3 linked regions of the Saccharomyces cerevisiae S288C genome follow. The protein of the gene in region 2 interacts with the protein of the main gene of each other region in a biochemical or structural test. Each region holds a gene or a part of one and is shown on either strand. Other genes may lie near its edges.

The links.
Region 1: of the proteins of NTH1 (region 2) and TPK2, one has a biochemical effect on the other in vitro, tested with the Saccharomyces cerevisiae proteins (2 studies listed by BioGRID, with this or other methods).
Region 3: of the proteins of NTH1 (region 2) and TPK3, one has a biochemical effect on the other in vitro, tested with the Saccharomyces cerevisiae proteins (one study listed by BioGRID).

The regions. Positions count from the first base shown.
Region 1 is NC_001148.4:164,256-167,855, reverse strand, and holds TPK2 (cAMP-dependent protein kinase catalytic subunit TPK2), read right to left. Parts: upstream 1,601-3,600; coding exon 458-1,600; downstream 1-457. Other genes in the region: serine/threonine protein kinase HRR25, read right to left, coding at 2,096-3,580.
Region 2 is NC_001136.10:450,360-454,200, forward strand, and holds the start of NTH1 (alpha,alpha-trehalase NTH1), read right to left. Parts: upstream 2,117-3,841; coding exon 1-2,116. Other genes in the region: Ran GTPase-binding protein YRB1, read left to right, coding at 2,686-3,291; RCR2 (Rcr2p), read left to right, coding at 3,763-3,841. UniProt on the Saccharomyces cerevisiae protein: Hydrolyzes intracellular trehalose to glucose. The disaccharide trehalose serves as a storage carbohydrate that is mobilized during nutrient stress. Regulates the level of trehalose as a protectant for cell integrity during heat stress.
Region 3 is NC_001143.9:133,916-137,364, forward strand, and holds TPK3 (cAMP-dependent protein kinase catalytic subunit TPK3), read right to left. Parts: upstream 1,791-3,449; coding exon 594-1,790; downstream 1-593. Other genes in the region: mitochondrial 54S ribosomal protein mL61 MRP49, read right to left, coding at 1-219.

The sequences.
Region 1 (3,600 bases), on a different chromosome or scaffold from region 2:
CTTTTCATAGGTAATGCACCGCAACATTCAATTATCTAAAAAACTTTCAGGCGTGCCGGTCCCCTAATTTTTGCACTGAGATCATGAGATCAGTAAGTAAAAGCTCATATAGGAAATAATCATATAGAAAAAAGCAGAGGAATGATATTCGAACATTTTCTATACATCACCCCTCCTATTTTTAGATGAATCTCTAAGATCTAAATGCCCTCAACTTAAATATGATATTGAATTAAAATGAATTGTAGTATAGAAGATATTTAGGGCAACGCTTGTTCTTCTCATCTCTTTTTCTTTTTTTACAATATGAACTAGCTTAAAACAGACCACAAATAAGGCATCCGTTAGGTAAAATATAAAGAAAGTGCGCCAGATTTTGGTGGAGGAAAAAAGAGAAAGGAAAAGGAGTGAGAGAAAGTACTTGAAAATTGTTTTTGTGTTTTTTGGTTCATGGAACTTAGAAATCTTGAAAGTATTCAGCATATGGATCATCGCCTTGAATACCATAATCTAGCTGCTCCTCGGGATATTGATCGAATAAAGACGTGTCACCGATACCTGATGTGATAGGAGGCTCGTATGGAGTTTCAATATCCTTTGCTAACAATCTTTCCCATACAACTTCACTAAACCATGGGTGAGCTTTGATGTCCCTGGAACCGCTTTGTAAATTACCGATTCTTCTTGTCAAATCTGCAGTGATCAGTTTGCTTAGTAGATCCACGACGTCGGGATGAAAATATGGTGGATATACTACTTTACCTTGTAAAATCTTTTCATACGTCTTCATTGGAGTAGTATCGTAAAAGGGTGTATAACCAGCTAACATTTCGTAGATTAGAACACCTAGAGACCACCAATCCACCGACTTATTATATGGCTTTGTGGTAATAACTTCAGGAGCAATGTAATCAGGAGTCCCACAAAGCGTCCATGTGACAGTTTGTACCTCTTTGGCGAACCCAAAATCGGTTATTTTAATGTGGCCATTTCTATCCAGCAAGATATTTTCTGGCTTTAAATCCCTGTAGATGATATTATGAGCATGCAAGTACTCTAATGCCAGTATGACTTCCGCAGCGTAAAATTTTGCTACAGGATTAGGAAATCTTTGTGACTTTCTCAGTAACGAGAAAAGTTCACCACCTTCGATATAATCCATCACCATAAAGATATTCCTAGCATCTTGAAACGTACCCCACATTCTAATCAGAAACGGATGCTCCACAAGCTTTAGCATACGTCGTTCGTCATTGGTATGTTCAACCTGTTTCATCTTGACAACTTGTTGTTTCTTTAAAACTTTTATAGCATAATACCGACCATTGTGAACAGAGCGCACCAAATGAACCCTACCAAAAGATCCAGTACCAAGCGTTCTCATAATCTGGAAGTCATGTAGTGTATATTTGCCTTTGGATACGAGAGATTTCTGGGGCAACTGAGACGTCAGCAGTTGTTGATGCTGACGCTGCTGTTGTTGTTGTTGTCGCTGCTGTAAATCATGATGCGGTTGTAGGACGCCTTGCCCGTAAGTATTAACATTTTGCTGCTGGATTGTTTGACCAACTGGCTGAGCCCTTTCTGCAACGAATTCCATACCGACAATTTTCAACAGTATGTGAGTTAACCTGAGTGAAGCTGCTGTTTGTGCCGGCTGTATATTTGCACAAACTTCCTTGGTATTCCGTCGTTATCGTCTCGTGATTGTTTCCTAATCAGACACTATAAGGCAAGTTAATTATCGAAAATACGAATTGATGCTGTCTTCTCAGAGGCCCTCCTTTAAAACCGTCCAATATTCGTGATTGATCTTCGATCGTTAGCCCTTTATTACATAAAAAAAAAACAAATTGGCCAAGAGGTGCTCCGCTCCCCCTTAATTTCCTTCCCGAAGAAAAAAATGCATAAAAAAAGTGGTTCTTTTAGCTATCATCTTTTTAGGTAAGAAGGCCAGAATTGTATATATTAACTCGATATGGAATTGTGTGTACGTATATGTAAATAATAATAATAATATATATATATATATGTGTGTGTGTATGTCTATATATACATATGTTTATTTTTGTGCGTTTTGAGCAATATATGTTGCTTACAACCAAATTGACTGGCCAGCTGGTTTATCTTGAGGCGGCTGTTGTGGATTAGATCTCATTTGTGGAGGTACAGATGCTTGATTAGTATTAAAATTATTGCTGTTTATTTGTGGGGGATACTGAGTAGCCCTGGTTGTAGCCATCGGAACTTGCTGCTGTTGCTCCTGAGAATCTCTTTGTTGCTGCTGTAGTAACGGTTCAGGATAATAATTTGGTCTTTGGCCATTTGGTTGCTGCTGTAGCTGTTGGGGCTGTGGTTGTGGCTGCGAACTTTGGACCTGCTGCTGCGGCTGCTGTTGTCTCAAGTTTTCCATACCTTTATCTAGTGCGTTCAATAATTCCTCTGGTAAAGAAGAGGCTGCATTATTATTCAAGATAGTTTGTTGTTTGATCTCTTCTGGTGAAGGATTATGTTTGTCTTCATTCTTGTAATAGTGGAAATGGGTGGGGAATTTCTTCATGGCTAACAGTTTAATCTTGTTGAAAGTTTCAGACTTGTTGTCTGTGCTGTTACTTGCACTTGCTGCATTGCTATTTGCGTTCAAATCACCTTTTTCGATGAGGAGGTCCCTTTGCTTCTCCACCATCGCCTTTGTGTAACGCAACATTGTCCAATCGAACAAGTGGTCGTTGTGATACTCTAGTTTAATACTCAGATCTTTAAACAGCCTTGCCAAGAACAAATAATCTGGCTTCTCATCGAATTTCAAATTCTTACAGTAAGCCATATATTCTTGAAACTCTAATGGTAAACCTGAACATAGAGTTTCCACGCTAACGTTTAATTTCTTTTCCATGATACGATCATACTTTTGTTTCTTGGTGGTTGCTTTCAAACCCTGCCATGGCAAAGAACCCTTACAAAAATAGATCAAGACATAACCTAGTGATTCTAAGTCATCTCTTCTACTTTGCTCTATTCCAAGATGCGTATTGACACTTGCATAACGAGCTGTACCTGTCAAGGACTTGTTCTCCCTGTAAGGAATATGACGATGTGTGTTGAAATCTCGGTATTTCTTTGATAGACCGAAATCAATAACATGAACGGTGCTACCACGGCGTCCTACCCCCATTAAAAAGTTGTCTGGTTTGATATCTCTATGAATGAACGACCTTCCATGTATATACTGAATACGGCAAAACATTTGCAAAGCCAGCATGATAACCGTCTTAAAGGAGAACCTTCTGTGACAGTAGTTGAATAAATCTTCCAAAGATGGGCCTAGAAGATCGATGACCATAGCATTATATTCACCCTCTCTGCCAAACCATCTGATGAACGGGATTCCCACACCACCGCTTAAGTATCTGTAGACGCGGGACTCATAGTCCAATTGAGGATGTCTGGACCTGATCGATTCCAGCTTGATGGCTACTTCTTCACCACTAATTAAGTTCGTGCCGTGGTAAATGTCACCAAAGGAACCACTCCCAATCTTCCTGCCAATACGAAATTTCCTTCCTACTCTTAAGTCCATCTCTTTTTAATGTATCCTTT
Region 2 (3,841 bases):
AACCTTCAGTAGCTGCCCCTTTAAAGTCAGCACCTTGATTACCGTATTCTGCTTCAACACGATGAGGATCTGTTCCTCTTGTGACATCATATTTTTCAACCACAATACCATTATAATCGACAAAAGCCTTTGTCATCATGAAAAGCCATCTATAAGCTAGCCTATTCGTTACAGTTAAATAACCATAAGAACGGAGGCCTTCCCAAGCAAGAATTTGATGGGGTGCCCAACCAAATGGATAGTCCCATTGTCTAATTGGTCTCGAAATAGAAATTGGGCCTCGAGAACGCTCCGTACATGCAGCTAAACCTCCAAGCATCTCTAACTTGGGTAGTGCTTTCTCCACCATTTTCTGTGCTTGCTCCTTCGTGGCAAGTCCAGCCCATAATGCCCAGAATGTAGTTGCGGATTCGTATGACGTTCTGTGCTTGATTTTTGTGTTGTAGTCAAAGAAAAACCCCGACTCGTCATCCCACATATATTTGGTAATCTTTTCTTGTCTGATTTTGGCCATTTCTTTCCACATAGCTGAAGTTGTTATAGAATGGTCTAAAGGATCTTCATATTTGTCGTCGCAGAATTCCTTTATGAAGTCTGCAATATCAATCTCGTATTTGTAAAGAAGAGAATTCAGGTCAATAGTGGCCAGGTAGGCACATACGCCCTCAAACCTATATGTAGTGTCGTGTCCAGATTCTCTAACGCCACGGTCATGAAGAAAAAACTCATCCAATTTAGGCTCCTTTATCTTACCATCGTTATAAAGTTGCTTAAATTCGTCTAAGGTAACGCCGTGTTTCGATGCATATGGTAGTAAAACGGTATCGAAGTGATCACTTTCAGTTTCCGGAGGAATACCGAGACCGTTAGGATGGTACCTGGATAAGCCTGTTTCGGGATCAAGCCTTGGAGATGCGGTCCAAACAGTTTTGTACTCTTTTATGCTTGCTTGGAAAGCTCTTTTCAACAAATCCACAGCATCGGGATTACTCCTACCACCAAGTTTTTTGAATACTACCAAGGCCATTTCAGTCAAGAATGGGGGCTGTGATCTACATAGATAGTAGCTTCTGTTAGCATTCAATATTTTTCCATAGTGATTAATCTCAAAAATAAAATGCTCCACCATACCTCTTGCAACATCAGTCTTGTTGGCTTCTAGGAGACCTAGTGCCATCATATAGGAGTCCCAACCATATAATTCATTGAATCTACCACCAGGAACAGCATAAGGGTAACCAATGAGAGTTTTTTCACCAGTAGAAGGATTGAAGTGCTCTTCCATAGCCAATGCTAGTAAACCGGGGGTATCATTGACGGATTTGACGTATTCTGCCGTTATTTTTTTTGGTAAATATTCAACTTCTAATTTCAAAGATGGATGCATTTGAGAAGCTTGAACATAAAATTCGTATTGTTCTGGACAATCATAAGGAACATAGATTCTTGGATTTTTTGCCCCCGGCGTATCAATCTTGGTATCTTTTGCAATTTCGCCTACGTTGTTCAGATCAACTCTCCTGGTCAAAGAGTTCCAGAACTGTGTGTTTATCAATCTTGATAATCTGTTGACGGGATTTTCGTTTATACGAGCTTCATCTAAGAAAATTTGGTGTCTACCAAAACTTTTCGCAATAGTTAGTTCCTGCAACAAATTGGATAACATATACGTACCCCTAATATTAATATGCTTATAGCCATAGGAGTTTGCGGTACCGACTTTCAAAACTTTTGGACCGGTATCCTCGATGGTGATCTGATAATTTTTATCGGTATCCTCAGCAGCCAGTAGTTCATTAAGTGTTTTATCGACATCTTCGATAAAGAAACGACGATTACCTTGACTACTTGAATAGGTGTCATCCTCAGAACCACGTCTAGTCTGTTGAAGTTTACCAAAACCAGTTTTCTTGAAAGGAGATACATTATCGAAAACACTCATAGTCCTCGTACGGTTGATCTTAGCGGGCTTTGCCTGCTTCTGCTTTCTTGGGTCTGTTGGGGGGCCATAGTAGACTTCTGCGTTCGAAAATGGATCATTGAATTCACTTAGTGATGATAATCTTCTTTGACGGCCTTGGGCTACCGGTCCTTGGCTTGTATTAACTTGACTCATTCTACTGATTTTTTTTGTTAATTTTTCTTTTTTTGTTTATCAGGCGTTCTTGTATCTAGTAATCTCCTTATATCTATGCAGTTGGTTGTGAAATCAGTCAATATAAAACTATCTTCTTGATATTATATTTACTCTACGGAAAACGATAGGGGGAAAATTTCTAGCTAATGTTTTGCGATCTTTTCAGGCCAACAAATCTTGTACCTCGCTCCTGAAAAATCCCGTAAATCGGTGATCGCGCAAGTTTCATATTGATAACCTTGTGAACCAGTCTATATATAGCCTTATATAAGTACTGCTCTATCAAACTTAAGATTGGTGGCCTTCTTCGGTAACTAGGGGATAAGGGGCTTCGTCCTACACGATGCTCCTGTCGTTTCTTTTTTTCATTTCTTTTTTCGCCCAGCGGGAAGTACGCGGAAAACAAGAAACAAAAAAAAAATAAAAAAATAAAAAATAAAACAGAAACTAAAATCTGATGATGAAATTGATATTCAATTGGAGAAAGAAGAAAGATCTTGTTTAATTTGAAATAAAAGCAAGAAGATAAACACAACTATAGAAAAAGAATGTCTAGCGAAGATAAGAAACCTGTCGTCGACAAGAAGGAAGAGGCTGCTCCAAAGCCACCATCCTCTGCTGTCTTCTCCATGTTTGGTGGTAAGAAGGCCGAAAAGCCAGAAACCAAGAAAGACGAAGAAGATACCAAGGAGGAAACCAAGAAGGAAGGTGATGATGCTCCAGAATCACCAGATATCCATTTTGAACCAGTGGTTCACCTGGAAAAGGTAGATGTTAAGACAATGGAAGAAGACGAAGAAGTTCTTTACAAGGTCAGAGCCAAGCTTTTCAGATTCGATGCCGATGCCAAGGAATGGAAAGAAAGAGGTACTGGTGACTGTAAGTTCTTGAAGAACAAAAAGACTAACAAGGTTAGAATATTGATGAGAAGAGACAAGACCTTAAAGATTTGTGCTAACCACATCATTGCTCCAGAATACACTTTGAAGCCTAACGTTGGTTCTGATAGATCTTGGGTGTATGCTTGTACAGCAGATATTGCAGAAGGTGAAGCAGAAGCCTTCACTTTTGCTATCAGATTTGGCAGTAAGGAAAATGCTGATAAATTTAAAGAAGAATTTGAAAAAGCTCAAGAAATCAACAAAAAGGCTTAGTTTCGATGTGCTTGTTACTTGCGTCTAGATTTTTTTGTTCCTAATGTAATTTTCCTTTACAGCGTGCATATATATTTTTATCTACTGTGAGGAAAAGTTGCTCTTTAATTATATAAAAAACGCTTATGTAGCATTGTGAAATCACATATGAATAGATATGTAAGAAGGATTAGAGGGTTCAAGTAATTGTTGCAGTAGTCAATGTAGCCAAATGTCTAACCACTTTGGTGCATGGAGATTAGCTCAATAATCTCGTAGTATGTTTCCGGGTAATATTCTCTGTCTTATTTACCATCTTTATGTTTCCGCCCTTTTATTTTTGTTTTTCTCGCTACTCCTTTATAATTACTAATGAGAATCGAATACTATAGAAATTTTTGACGTAATAAAGGAGCAGTAAATTTGGAATACATTCCTTAGCTCGCTAGAAAGCTGAAGGAAATTTAGCTAAACAGAGAGTATAGTTTTGAAATGATTTTACGGGAGCAGATCGACTTCCTAATACATAAAAGACAGGATGATAATAATAACAATGGTGAAGCGATTACAG
Region 3 (3,449 bases), on a different chromosome or scaffold from region 2:
TATCCTTATCACGTCAAACTTCATTCTTGGATTATAGAACTGCAAAGTGGGTAGGTAGTTATGCCAAAAAACTCTGGCACCCATATGTCCATTGTGGTTTTTCGTTTGAAAAGTCAATCTAAGACCTGAGTATTTTTTAGGATCGACTAGAATCTGCGGTAGTCTGGTAGTGGCGCTAATTTTATTCAAAAATTTTAACTGTTGTGCAACCTTAGACATCTTCTTATTGTAGCAGGCTCACTTATGTTATACTGTTCTTCTATTAATGAGTTTTATGGCCGATTCTTACAGATATCCTGTTTTCCCTGGGTGAAAAGTCCTAGATCACTTTGAACGTCCCAGTCTTCTGAGGACGCAAATGTAGTCACAATATGGCGTATATGAATGCTCCTTTATTTATCTGTATACACCTCTATTGAATAGACGTACGTAGATATATACATGTACATATATGCATGTGTCACTTTTTTATCATGGCCCTGTTAGACTCACCAAGAATCTATAACCAGGTTTGTTTGTGCTTTTTCTTGTTCTTGTTTTTACTTTTATTGATTTTTTTTTTTTTTCAATTACAATTATCCCACTGAACCTCCTTAAAATTCTTTCATTAAATCCATATATGGATCCTCCCCTTGAATTCCATAGTTGAATTCCTCTTCAGGGTATCTGTCAAATTGAGAAGTGTCACCTTGGCCCTGTTGGATTGGTGGTTCGTACGGCGTTTCTATGTATCTTGCTAACAATTTCTCCCATATCACTTCGTTAAACCACGGATGGTTCTTGACATCTTCACTTCCATTTTGTAAGTTACCCAACCTTTCACTTAAGTCTCTGGTAATTAGCTTCTTCAATAAGTCCTGCGCGTCTGGATGGAAAAATGGTGGGAACTTCAATTCGGCGTTCAGTATATTTTCGTAAGTTTTCATGGTGTTCGAATTGTAAAATGGAGTGTATCCGGCAAGCATTTCATAGATTAGCACACCAAAACTCCACCAATCCACTGATTTATTATACGGTTTTGTACTGACCACTTCCGGCGCTATGTAATCTGGTGTGCCACATAATGTGTATGTGACATCGGGAACGTATTTTGCGAAGCCAAAGTCGGTTATCTTGATATGGCCGTTTTTATCTAGAAGGATATTTTCTGGTTTCAAGTCTCTATATATTATATCCTTACTGTGCAAATATTCCAACGCTAAGCATACCTCTGCGGCATAAAATTTGGCTACTGGGTTGGGAAATCTTTGAGATTTACGTAGTAAAGAAAATAATTCACCACCTTCAATGTAGTCCATTACCATGAAAACTTGCTGAGAATCTTGGAACGTTCCCCACATTCGAATGATGAATGGATGTGAAACAATTGAAAGCATTCGGCGTTCGTCATTGGTGTGTTCAACCTGCTTCAGCTTCACTATAGTGTGCTTTTTCAATGTCTTCAAAGCGTAAAACCTCCCATTGTGATTGGAACGAATTAGGTGAACTCTCCCAAATGAGCCAGTTCCCAAAGTTCTTAAAATCTGAAAGTCACTTAGGGAATACTTTCCTGAGGTATCTCTATATTGTAGCATTGGTTTTTTAACCAAACAAATACCTGCAGACGCTTCTTCTTTCAACTTTCCGCTGTTTCTTCCATTTATCTCCACGGGTGTGTTGGAAGAACATTCCTCATGCACCGAATGTGCGTTTACAGGAATGTCTTGTCCAACGTTATCTGGAGTTGTTTCTGTCTTGGCAGTAATGCTTAATTTCCTGATTTCATTGTTGTTCATCGGATCAACATACATTTTGTGCAGGCTCGCTCTTTCCTTGTACAACCACCGATATACAATATGATTAATGTATTATTCAATAATATACGTGAAACTTTCTTATTGCTTAAAGAGTGATCGCCTATAAATTTTCTCCGACGACTGCACAAAGTGTCTCGTATGTCCACTCGAGTTTCTTACCGATAGAAGTAATAAAGCAGACAAAACTTTTAAGATCAGCTGGTAAAAAGTGTCTTTTCTTTCCATATTCTCATTGAACACAACTTTATTTTTCAATGGCATCGAAGAAATCCCGTAGCTGAAGCAACGGAAAAAAAATACCGGAAACTGCATAATGAGGCTATTCACTAAAAAGAAAGTGGTTCACCAGTATGCGTCGGAAACGTCATATAAATCTATATATGTATATGTACATATATATATATATATATATATATTAGTGAGTATTTTAATGTATATCAAGTTTTGATAAAGATTGCAACTTGGCTTGAAATAAACGCATTTTTGCGCACCAGAGAGTATCTGAAACGTTGACGCAATTTTGCAAAAATGCATAGTCGCTTTTCTTCAGACCTTCCTAAATCACTCGTACCTGGAACGACTTTTTGAAGAATGAAGTCGTTGTCCTCTTGAAAAAAATAGTAAATGATACGGTTGATCGGCCGGTGGCCACCGTCGTGACAAACCTAGGAACTCAATTAGGACCATGGCATATAAGTATATGTGGTCCAAGCTTCGCTGTGTAGGCCGTAATTTTGCCGGCATTTACTATATTGTTGACGAATAAGTGATAGATTTGCCATATTTATCCCTCCTAAAGCTCGGTAAAGGGAACTATCTGAGATGGATAGCTTGAAGAAAAAAAAATACTTGCTGATGGACCTCCATGTACAACTTTTGAAATAGTTGGGACATTAAATGGAGTATGGTATGCGGTTATAAAAGTAACTCCCCGAAGCTCACTTAGAGAAGAAATTGTCTTGCTAAGGTAATAGATCTTGGAAAGTTTAAACAATCGTCAATTTTTTCGCTCCTTAAGCAATTGATGTTGTTGCGTTATTTTCTGGCAACGACGACTGGCAGGTCATAGAGACCTACCCAAACCAATAAAGTCTCAAAAATTCCACTTTTCATCAAAAACTAAGGAATTAGTCTTCCTGCGGGCAGTGAATGCTTTTATCGTTATGACTTTAGTGCAAATTGTAGATATTTCGAATGCTTTTTGCATTTAAAAATGAAAATCTATGGCCATTTCTTGTTTTAAACTCATTGAACTTTCAAGGTAAATTCACGAGCAATATATTGGCATTGTCACCACGCTACAATTCGGTAAGTTTCTCGATTCAAACTAGTAAATACAACTATTGGAAGGGCACCCGGTGCTAAGGCGAGAAAACTGCTGATTGTGTACATTATTAGGTGTGATTAGGAAAAATGAACGCGAATAGTAATTTATTTCAAAGATGTGCTTTTTTTTTTCGCTGTATAGCTGTTACAAGACCTGCTATTAAAAAATTCACTAGCAAAAATTGCTAGTATAAAGCTATTGAAGTACTTGATGAGTTTAAATTTTTCCTTGCCGCCATTTCTTTCGACAGGAGTACTTTATCGAAAAGATAAAGGCAAAAGTTATATATTTTTAAAAACGCTCCAAATGGATAGTACTTAGACAAA